3 linked regions of the Danio rerio genome follow. The protein of the gene in region 2 binds, or shares a complex with, the protein of the main gene of each other region. Links are inferred from orthologs where the notes say so. Each region holds a gene or a part of one and is shown on either strand. Other genes may lie near its edges.

The links.
Region 1: the proteins of siah1 (region 2) and usp19 are in contact, whole or in part, in a crystal structure (PDB 4X3G), measured with the Homo sapiens proteins. The link is inferred for Danio rerio from reciprocal best matches to the Homo sapiens genes SIAH1 and USP19. Residues at the interface, in NP_003022.3 of Homo sapiens: Cys130, Pro131, Thr156, Leu158, Gln159, Asp162, Ile163, Val164, Phe165, Leu166, Ala167, Thr168, Leu172, Val176, Asp177, Trp178, Val179, Met180, Asn276; in NP_006668.1 of Homo sapiens: Lys463, Pro464, Thr465, Cys466, Met467, Val468, Pro469, Pro470, Met471.
Region 3: the proteins of siah1 (region 2) and axin1 are in contact, whole or in part, in a crystal structure (PDB 5WZZ), measured with the Homo sapiens proteins. The link is inferred for Danio rerio from reciprocal best matches to the Homo sapiens genes SIAH1 and AXIN1. Residues at the interface, in NP_003022.3 of Homo sapiens: Cys130, Pro131, Ser154, Thr156, Leu158, Asp162, Ile163, Val164, Phe165, Leu166, Ala167, Thr168, Asp169, Val176, Asp177, Trp178, Val179, Met180, Asn272; in NP_003493.1 of Homo sapiens: Pro378, Lys379, Glu380, Val381, Arg382, Val383, Glu384, Pro385, Gln386, Lys387.

What each region holds. Positions count from the first base shown.
Region 1 is NC_133198.1:23,057,512-23,061,163, forward strand, and holds part of usp19 (ubiquitin carboxyl-terminal hydrolase 19), read right to left. Parts: coding exon 3,576-3,652; intron 2,197-3,575; coding exon 2,030-2,196; intron 1,948-2,029; coding exon 1,772-1,947; intron 1-1,771. UniProt on the Homo sapiens protein: Deubiquitinating enzyme that regulates the degradation of various proteins by removing ubiquitin moieties, thereby preventing their proteasomal degradation. Stabilizes RNF123, which promotes CDKN1B degradation and contributes to cell proliferation.
Region 2 is NC_133193.1:19,853,545-19,857,196, reverse strand, and holds part of siah1 (E3 ubiquitin-protein ligase Siah1), read right to left. Parts: intron 281-3,652; coding exon 1-280. UniProt on the Homo sapiens protein: E3 ubiquitin-protein ligase that mediates ubiquitination and subsequent proteasomal degradation of target proteins.
Region 3 is NC_133178.1:42,753,903-42,758,204, forward strand, and holds the start of axin1 (axin-1), read right to left. Parts: upstream 2,819-4,302; 5' UTR 2,530-2,818; exon of another isoform or gene 2,039-2,529; intron 2,009-2,038; exon of another isoform or gene 1,872-2,008; intron 1,838-1,871; exon of another isoform or gene 1,111-1,837; intron 1-1,110. UniProt on the Homo sapiens protein: Component of the beta-catenin destruction complex required for regulating CTNNB1 levels through phosphorylation and ubiquitination, and modulating Wnt-signaling.

The sequences.
Region 1 (3,652 bases), on a different chromosome or scaffold from region 2:
CATAAGTATTCACAGCCTTTGCCTTGAAGCTCTAAATTGAGCTCAGATACATTCTGTTTCCATTGATCATTCGGTAACATGTTTTAGTTTCAGTTCGGCCATCTAAGCCGAGTTATTGGGGGAGAAGGGCCTTAGTCAGGGAGGTGATCAATAACCCGATGGTCACTCTGTCTGAGCTCCAGCGTTCTTCTGTGGACAGAGGAGAATCTAACAGAAGGACAACCTTCTGTGCAGCAATCCACCAATCAGGCCTATATGGTAGAGTGGCAAGATGGAAGCCACGCCCTGCCTGGAATTTGACAAAAGACTCTCAGACCATAAGAAACTAAATTTTCTGGTCTGATGGGACTAAAATTCGGTGAATGAGACTAATAAACTCAGTGAATGTCCTTGAGTGGCCCAGCCAGAGCCCAGACCTTAATCCTATTGAACATCTCTGGAGAGATCTGAAAATGACTGTACACAGTCGCTTCCCATCCAACCTGATAAAGTTGATAGGTACTGCAAAGAGAAACTGGTAAAAATTCCCAAATACAGTTGTGCCAAGCTTGTGGCAGCATATTCAAAAAGACTTAAGGCTGTAATTGCAAAATGTAATTGTAATATGCAAAGGCTGTGAATACTTATGTACATGTGATTCTTCAAGCTTTTTTATTTGTAATAAATTTGCAACAATTTCAAAAAATCTTTTTTTTTTCTACATTGTCATTATGGGGTATTGTGTGTATAATTTTAAGTAAATAAATTATTTATTCCATTTTGGAATTAGGCTGTAACATAAAAAATGTGGAAAAAGTGAAGCGCTATAAATACTTTCTGGATGCACTGTAATCATTGTGTCTATGTAATATCACTTTTTTCTGTGAGATGCTGATGGTCTAATCCAATTCAATGATTTATGCTAAGCTAAGCTAAAAGTGCTTTAGTCAGACAGAGATCGGCTGACTTCAAAAATAGTAAAACTCTTTACTGTTTACCTCTAGGGGACTTGTAAAAAGAGACTAATTCCAAAAAATGTGAAGTGCTTCTTTAAGGTAAAGTCATAAAGATATAAAAACATTTCTTAACTTCTTTTTTAGCAGTTACAACACTATGCTAGCATACTGACAATATTTGTAACATTTTTAACACAACAACGTGTGTTTAACTTTACTTATCATGCTGCTAACACATTTTATATGTTGCTATTATGTTTTAACATGTTGGCCAATATGGTGAAAATATGAATTTGCATGTTGTAAACTTTTCTAGCTTGTTGCTAACATTGATTAACATTGTTAATTGCTAACTATGTTAGCTAACATTGCTAACATTGATTGTCTTGGAAATTTGCTGTACAATTGTTTACGCACGTTTTGACACTGTTCATAATGAGATCAATGTGCTGTATATTTTTACCTTTTGAGAGCCACAAAATCATGAGTAAAAAAAAAAAAATCAACCCAACAAACAAACAAAAAAGTGATCAAATCGACTCAATCAATGCTCAATGCTTTGAGAATCATCTATTAGTCACAACTCAAGATAAGCTCCAGAACATCCAAGAGAAAGTAATCTCCCAAAGCTGATAGACTATAATCAGCTGATGTTGTCTGAGTGAGACCTCATTAAAAAATGAATGATGGAGAAACACCCTACTGTCAGTGTTGAGCATCCACCAGGAATGTTACCCAATCCCTTGCAGTATTAATGAGCAAGCACATAGCAGCACGACTAAGATGAAACGGTTTTTCCACTGGGTTGCGGTGACATAAGAAGGTGCTGAGCTCACCTGACTGGCAGCACCACCTGTGGCAGCAGACGATTCAGCGCCAAGGGGTCCCAGCAGGTGAGACGGCCTTTCCACTGGAGAGTTCCTGCGTCGATAGAACAGCACATAGGCGTAACGCGTCACCACCTGACTCTCCTCCACCGTCGTGACTGTGCTGTCATCAAACAAACGCCAGCCTGAAATAGCAGAAGACATGCAGAAATAGGCATTACATGACAGCCAAAGAGATGTTTTGAATTCAGAAGAGCTCAGACATACCAACATCACTAAGCTGGCTGTTCTTGTCGCTGGGAAGACGAGCATAGGCTGTGTAGTGTCCTCCAATCATTCCACCATAATGGTTGATGACAGCGTACAGATCATAGATTGGCGGCTGCTGGATGTCACCCTTATGACCAATACAAAACTTACTCAAGTCCAAGTTTCTAATAAGGAAAGGAAATTAAACAGGTTAAACATTATAACATTATTAGGTGGTTAAATCAAATTATACAACACACAAAACTAGGGAGTGACTATGATAATATTGCAATGGTGTTTTAATGATGTGTGAGCTGATATTATCCCGTATAACTTTGAAAAATAGATCATCTGAATGAATTATTCAGTGGAAGTTTTAGAAACATATTTACATGACAGGCATAAAGCAGCTAAATTTGGGATTTCGACTCTAAGCCAAATATCAAATTCTCTGGCTTTTCGGTTTGTTTCACTGACTTGAAAGCCGAATTACCATAACCTATAATGAATAGAAAACCAGTCAGCCATTCTGAGATTACTGAATTTAATCCAAAATCAAGTAAATGGCACAACATGTAGAGGAGCTTGTCATTTTTTACCTGATGCGGATTTTGACCAGCCAGGACACCGTTAAGATTTCTGCTGTGCCATATGCATTGTTATATATTAAATAACATTATATTCACGAATTGAAAGTGCAAATCTGGTGTGCTATATCTTGAGTTTTCATAGACATGGCACAACACTGCACTTCTCCTTAGGTCAGTGACTATGTATCATGTGACTTTATCACAACACTCATTCGGGCAAAGCCTATCTGAACAAAGCTACATTTGATGTATAATTCACAATTAGTTTTACATTTTAACATGCTTTTACTATTGCTAGATTTTAAGAGCCATTTATGTATCAAATAGGATTTAGTAGGCTTCAAATGGTTAAGAGGTAAATGCTTTCACTCTTTGTTTCTCTCAGTGATTTCTTTATATAAATTACAAAGACCAATTGTCAAAAAAGTTATAAGAACTATAATGTCTATATTTTCACAGCAAAACAAGAACTGACACAAATATTGCTGGACATTTTGAAAAACGCCACTGTAAATCTAAATTTTAAGATGCAAAATTAAAGAGGGACTGGGTAAGCACTGAGTAGACAAGACACAAGCACTGACTGTGTTTGAACAGGTACAGACTGGTGACTGCATTTGATTAACAGGTGGTAAGTGGGAAAGGAATTAAATGGCAGTGAAAAATAGCCTAACCATAATAATAGGTTAAACACGTGAAATAACGTCATAAAAAATACATTATAGAAAAAAAAAAGTATTATATTATATTATATTAGACGTTTTAACAAACCCCCTAATTTTTCGTGATTCTGCCATCGCTGAATCTAACGCAAAATCAAGTTGCCATATTGATAAATAAGACAGTTCACTTTTCTAAGTACAATGTTATTTCTGTCGTGAATAGTAGATACTTAATTGTGAAAGGGAAAATTTAAGCATTCAAACACCAGTGCAAGTGAAAGTCTACGAAACTTTGAGTAACTTTCAGTATACCTGACTGGAAAATCGACCATGTCATTAATCTTGTCCCTCCATATGAAACTCCTAAATGAGAAGCGCTTGAGCTGGAT
Region 2 (3,652 bases):
GAGTTGGCCACTTTCTCCATTGCCAAATTACGGATCGACCCAAGCGGGCCTCTGCAGGTGGGGCAGCAGGTGAGTTTAGGCCGGCAGTTGCTACACACCAAATGGCCGCTCTGGCACTGCAGGATGGGCGGCAACACATAGTCGAAACAGACCGGGCACTCAAACAGGCTGGCGAGGTCACTGTTGGATGCTGTGGTGCCCGACAAAGTTGGAACGCGCTGAGAAGGGGGACACTTAGAGGTTCCTGTGGGCAGCGCTGTGGCAGTCTGGCGACTCATTTCTACAAGAGGAGACAGAGAAGAGAGTTAGACTGGCTAACACAGATGGCCAAAGGTAATGGATTTGCTTGCACTTACAAGGAACAACAATGAGCAGGGGTGTGTTTCCCAAACAATGAAGTATAACACGTAGCTAAACCACCACAGTACGAGGCATCATTTGGGAAATAAACTATGTAGTCACAAATGTTTTACAAACTCTGTTGGAGATTGTCTGAACCAGGTTAGGTAAATGCAAAACTTCCATGATGATCAAGGGGCAATTGCTTTATCTGAACAGATGCCACTGCTGCATTAAGAGTAGCATAAATGTTTTCATGCCCATTTCCACTGAGTGGTACAGTACGGTAAGGTTCAGTATGGGTCACCTTTAAGGCTCGTGTCTCTACTGCCAAAGAGTACCAATGGTACTCTTCTGGTGGACGTGGCGTTCGACAGAAACCTGCAGTCGACGTCATTCTTGATTGAATTCACATATCGTAGGAGAAGCACTCCTTACTAAACAAATGCTATTTAAACATATGTGTATTACTGCCTTTCTATGAACAGAATTTGATTAAAGCTGCAGATCAATGATAATGTGAAATAGCCTACTGTATCATCTGCGGTTGTATAAAATAAAACAGTTATGAACACATACAGACCCTTACAGTCTCTAAAATGTTACCAATTACAAATAAACAATTCCCCAAAACTTACATTTAGGCCTTATTTGTGTTCATAAACGATTAAAACAAATACAGTCAGTCCAAACCTCTCATCTTATTTTTCACCAGCACATGTAATGTTAACCTCTTGTAAAAAAGTCATTCCGGGTTCATAATAATCCAAAAGGTGATGATGATGGTTAAACATGGCAGATTGTTCATGTTTTACGTTGCTGAAAGAATCACTTGCTCCTGTTTTTTCAAGTTTCACTCTGGTGTTTGTCCGTTTCTGAAAGGATCAGATGTCAGAAGCACTTCAATAATGACGTGCACGTTATTATCATCATTAGCTCAAGAGGTTTATTTCAAATACAGACGCGCATGCGAGCTCTCTGGAGAAAGTGAAACCACTCGTGCTTTAGGCGACCTCGTAACTAACAGGACACATGTAGATTCTGCTCTTCTTCTTGGGTTTGTGGCTGTTCATTAAGATGAAGAAAAGGTTCGTTTCAGGTTCAGATTGTTATTGTTATTATTTGTATATATTTATCATGGTGTAATGTCTCAGCTATGTTTTTTGAAAATGGCGGTTCCTTTGTTTTTGTTCTCCTGGCTTGTGCACGCGCTAGTGACATTTCTCTGTAAACCAATAGCTTTAGCTGCATGTCTAGCTGTGATTTTTGGTACCCTTTTGTTGTGCTAGGTACCAATTTTTTGCTTTTGACAGTAGAAATGGCCATAAAAGTGTACTGGCACTTACTGTACCACTCAGTGGAAATGGGCCATTAGTGCACTAAGCAGAGACCACAATTGCCAGTCAGAGGATCGTTAAACTAAAACTAAAAAATTCTTCTGTCTGGAAATTACATCAAATGTGAACAAGAAAACTTTAAGCTTTCAAAATTACTCAAATTGGCTGACGTGTGTGGAATTAATAGGGTGATAACTCAGAAAATAACAGCAAGGAACTATGCTACCAACAGGCCTAGAGGTGTAGTTCCAATCACTAAAGATTGTGCTAGTTTGTGAATGTCCATAGGAAGAAGGAATTCAGGAAACACTGATCACACAGAAACACTGATCAGATGGCATCTAATGCACATGAGCACCTCTGTTTCCTCAACATGAATCAATAGACATTTTAAAACGTGGCCTCAGGATAAAAGGTACATCCAGATTCTGCTGATTCAAGCAGCATGAACTTCAAATAGAGCTATGAAAGAGTCTGAGCAGCGCAGTGTGCCTGGCAATGTCTCTTCTCCCTCAGTGGCTCAGATATAGCCATCTAGTGGCACCGATAAGTCAGACGTGGGGCTCTGGGGAAGCTATTTTTGGCATGAGTAAAATGCACAGATAGTCATGCATTGGCTTTTTTTCTTTAAAGCCAGACATGGAGAGTGGACTCAGAGGGCCAAGGCGCATGTCTGCTACAGGAGTGTTCCTATGGCAACAATCTGCAGAGCAAAGTGTAAATGTGTATGGGACGACCTGTGGAGAGAAGTATAGGATTTGCAATGGATGCAAGATAGGAGCGTGTGACCCAGCTGTAACACCCTACCGCTATATATAACCTACATCTACACAGCAATCAATAGGAGGCAAAAAAGTATCTGTAAATCAGCACAGGGGAGCAAATGAATAAGACTGATTGCTGATTTAACACTGACATCAATTAAGCGAGGAATAAAGAGACTATAAGAAAGGAGCAGCGTGGCAGGATCAGAGCGCAGTAAATCGTCTCGTGTGGGAGAACCAGGACCGTGCCAGAAAGCAGAGTGGGGGTGCGGACAGACAGTGAGCTGTGTGTGTATGTAGGTGGCTTAGAATCTGCTAGTAAACACATCTGCTCTGATAAAGCCCCAAGTATTTTTAGCCTCCTCACGGAGCAGCTCTCCGAGTATAACAACTGAGGCCAAAATTAGCCTGAGCACAACAGCTAGCACCACGTCCTCAATGCCTTTCTAGGCTTGTAGTCTAGGCTTGGTGGATTTGAAAGGTTAACAAACAAACATAGTTTTGCTTCCAAGTGTAGCACTGCTAACCATAAAAATGGATGTTGAACAAGATTTACACATGTTCCTGGATCAAGATTTTAGGGAGATGCAGAGGCATGTGTTGCATTATAATTTTACAAATGCATTTATCCAAAGTGACACTGTATTAAACAAATATATTTTTGTAAGTCCATAAAGACCAAAGCCATGGTATTTATGTTGCTAGAATAAAGTAAGATATGGTAAGATGTGTGGTTAAACACCCAGACAAAACCTCTATTTGTTTTATAACTGTAAAGAAACATTTTACAGGCGATCACATGTCTGGAGGAGCTCTGTACTGAAGCATTTAACTAAAACCACAAAGAAACACACTAGAACTAGTATAACAAAGTTCAAACTAGCCTACTTCTCTACTATTTAGTATGTGAAGTGCATAGTGCTTTCAAACGTGTAGTAATCGTAAAACAGTGGGGGAAAATTGCCAGAATGGTCTACTACTTTCACTGAGACTGTATTACACATGGAGGAATTTAAAGGTAAAAATGGCAAATATAGTAAATCAAAATTCCATTCATACAACTCGCATTTAAACTATACAAGTCTATAGTTCAATATTATGATCTAATGTTTATTTTGTGGTTTCAAAGAACATTGTTGAAAACAAAGCTGAAAAAACTTTTTCATAATTTATATGCGCACAATACTACACGCCATTACGAGGATGCAGACA
Region 3 (4,302 bases), on a different chromosome or scaffold from region 2:
ATTCGCAATGGAAAGTTGGTGCAACTAACAGCAAACCTTAGGAGTGCTAATAATGACAGATTACCCTAATGTCATGATATAAGTCCTCTTGACGGGAGAAAGAAACCCCGTTTCTGGCCGGCATTCCTCTGTGTTGGTTTTTGTTACAGCTGCCAGTGCAAATTTACCCCTCCTCGTAGGCTTTGCTTGAAATAGGCTTATCTTTTGAGGAGCCTGATCAGTTGACAATAGCCCATTTAGATGTTAAAGCTGAGTGCTGCTCTTCTCATTTCTACAAAAGATAATTATTCCTTCAAATAAGTTACTTCAAGGCTGCTTTTAGCACTTCTGTAAAAAAAAAAGTGGCATAATAAGGCTTTGAATTATGAGGGGGAGAAAAACTGAGATTTTCGAGATACAACTGACAATAGACAAAGACGCACATGCCTGGAATGGTTAGGCTATAGGAGTACTGCGAAACAAAGGCGACGAGGGTCCGGTTGGAGAAAAGCTGATTTATATTTGAATGATTGGGACATCAGAAAGGGAAAATGTCTTTGGTGTATTGATAAGCTGCTCTTTTTAGCGCTCCCAAGTCTTGGGAGAAAGGTGCTATCTAAAGACTGTCAGAATGTCCTCTGGAGTCCTGCTGATATCTTTTGTCATAGCTGAATAAATCGTGACTAACAAGGCCAAGGGTGGATTAGCCACACAGGATTAAACAGGTTGTTGCTTGAGGTTTGTCTAACTACTGATTAATGTTTCCATAGGAAAACATGCGGCTCGCTACAATTCATCGGCAAACAATGCGCCGCTAATGACCGCTAATAATAGGCGAAAGATTTTGCTCGCTAACAAATGGCGAGCCGATGCTACGAGCTTGAAATGCACAGCAAGCGGTCGCAACAATTGAAGCTTTGAAAGCAAGAGGGCCGGGAGAGATGTAAACAATAAAAACAGTAGGAAAGAGTGGCAAATAACGCTCGGCGTACCGCCGCCATTATCAACGTTACACAATCGATGCACATGCCGCCTTCACAGTTACCTCAACTTCACCGTAGACTATCCCGATTGCCTCAACGGATCTGGTCTCGTGCTACGCAGTCTGCGGCATCCCCGGCCGCCATCTTTAAGCACAACTGGCTTTAGTTGGCGATGGTCCTCCCCTCCATCTTTCTTTATCCTCTTGCTTTCCACCCAGCCCCCCTTTGGTGCGCTATTTTGACATCATTCGCTGGATATCGACAGGCTCTCAGACGGCTCGGTCGGGAATCGGCGAGGACATGGAGCCCTCGCTGCTGTGCTTCACCCAATGGTGGATCCTCTGACCATGCTTGATTATCTCGAGACATATCCGCCGAGGACAAATATTCATCCCAGATCTGAGGCCTTTGATCTGATGAAGGCCCGATTTGAAAGCCCCCTCCAAAGAGCCCTTTAAAGACAGCGTTCCCTCAGATGTTCCAAGTAATGAGATTTGGAGTGCTATGATTAATCTAGGCCAATTTCATACACTGAGAGAGACACACACACACACATGAAAACACAAAGACATGGACATATGCATACTAGGAGCAATCGAATTAAGTTTACGCGACGAATCCTCCCATTCGCAAATTAACGGAAAAATAGATACCAGAAGCAAACAACAGCCCAGCTGGAGTTCTTTGATCGCGCTTTGGGAAGAAAAAGAAATGGATGTGAAGAGGCTTCAAGAATCATATTGAAAACTGCGGCGTTTTTTTCTCGCTTTCATTTGCCTGACGTTCACAGTCCATTCTTCGGCCGTTTATTGGCACTGCTAATGCTAATCTCGTTGACCAGCACATTTCACGGAGAAGACTCCAAGAACAATAATGTGAGTTAAGTCTCAAAATGGTTGATGCTCTCACCTGCCTCTCCTGCTGGGTGTCTCCTCCGCTGTGATTTCTGCCGTCCGCCATGACTGGGCGCAGTCGCCTACTTGCCACCCCGGAGTACTTTCTTTTACTCATGAATCTCTTTCTGTTTTCTTACAACTGTGTTGCTGAAAGATGTGCATCTTTACTTTATGTTGCAGCTTCAGCTCTGCAACCTGATTGGTGGACGCGAGGACCAGATGATAGACCTCGGAACCCTATTGTAACTATGGCAACAGACCCCACAGGCATGAGTGATGTGCTCCTAATTGCAAAGTAAACATCAGAAAAGCAACTGGATATCATCGGCCGAAAAAGTGTGACGATTACAGCCAAACGCAATGAGCTCTGAAAGGAAAACAAAACTGTTTGATATGCTGCCCATTCTGAGCGGGATGAAAAGGGAAGCACAAAGACCACAGAGTAGCGGTCCTTTTCAAACAGCGCTCAACGCCACTGCTGTTTGATGTTTGGGAGCATTTCATTCACCACAAGCAAACAACAACAGACTGACCACGGTGAAATACACATATACGCAGCGAGACGAGATGGAGAAAATCGGCGTAGGCAGATATGAGAGTGCTGGAAAGGAAAACGTCGAGAACCAAGAAGATGATATTGCCTTTGTTGGGTAATGTTATCAGCTGCTTACCTTTCATACGGATTTCACACTTGCTTGTCTAGTAGCAGCCAGGGTCAGACCCAGCAAACCCTTCCCACAATGACCGATTTTCCATTCTGGCGAGGATCCTTGGTATTGCCTGCCACTTGCATTTGCATTGGCGCCGCCACTCTCAAACAAATTTACCACACACACTTTGTCTTGTTTGCGGGACTTCACATCGTGCTGTCTTTGGGGCTTGCGTGGGCTAGTGGTGGACTCTCATTGAAAAGACAGTTTCGATTCCGCACGCCGCGCGTTCAAGAACAGCCATGTGACTAGTGAGAAAAGAAAGTCACTGCAAAATAGCAGCTGGCCATTAGTCTCAGTGGCCCCTCAGCACCCTGCGCTTGGGTTGGTGGGGTGACTCAGGTGGGGGTTTCTGGACTCAGGGAGGGAGAGATACATTATATACTCTTAGGAGTGAGTGCTTCTTGTTGTTTAGCAGTAGAAAATATGGTAGAAACTGAGCATTTGAACACGGAAGCTGTAGAAGATTACATATTTAAAGAGACATTTCTTTCAAAAGGAACACGAATGAGGGTAAACGAGAAAATAGCACATTTTTTTAAGGGATTTTGAGGGTTTATAAGTTTTTAAACATGAAATATACAATATTTAAATATTATAATCATGCTATTATGGGTATTTTTAAATACACTATCATTCAAAAGCTTTTATTGACATTTTCTAAACATTGAAATCAATTTTTTTTATAGCACAAGTGAATTAAATTAATTAAAAGTGAGTTATTTTACAACTGATTATGTCAAACTTTCTATTAAGCAGAGAATTCATCAATTTTAAGTAGCACAATATTAATAATTATTTGACGCTTGTTTTACGTTACATTTTAAGATACAGAGACATAAAAGAAGTCATAATGATATTGCTAATTACAGTTTTATTCTAAAATTGCACTAATTCATCTTAAATGTACATATCCACTGCACATATACTGTACGAGTGTAATTATGTTCATATCTATCTGCATACCTCTGATTATTAATAGCAACCTGTACATATATTCATCTACTGTAGAGAGACATTATATGCTCTTAGGAGTAGGTGCTTCTTGTTGTTTAGCAGTACAAAATACGGTATAAACTGAGCATTTGAAGACGTAAGCTGTAGAAGTTTACATATTTAAAGAGACATTTCTTTTTAAAAGGAACACGAAATCAGAGAATAACACATTTATTTGACAGATTTTGAGGGTTTATGAGTTTTTAAACATGAAATATACAATATTTAAATATTATAATTATGCTTTTATGGGTATTTTTAAATACACTATCATTCAAAAGCTTTTATTGATATTTTGAGATCAATATTTTTATACAGCACAAGTGAATTAAATTCAATAAAACTGAGTTAATGATACAAATGATTTCTATTGCAGAAAATCCATCAATTTGAAATAGCACAATATTCATAATAGTATGTTTGTATTGAATTACATTTTAAAATACGCAGACATAAAAGAAGTCATTTTTATTGCAATGATATTGCTAGTTTACAGTTTTACTCTAAAATTGCACTAATTCATCTTGAATTTAAATATCCTCTGCACAAATACAAGTGTAATTATGTTCATATCTATCTGCATACCACTGATTGTTTATAGCAGCCTGTACATATATTCATCTAATTGTAAATCTCTGTTCACAGTTAATACAACCTCTATATAATGTTTATAGTACACGTATCTGTAAATATCACCCTTAGTGTTTTTATAATTGCACTATAACTTATACCTACAGT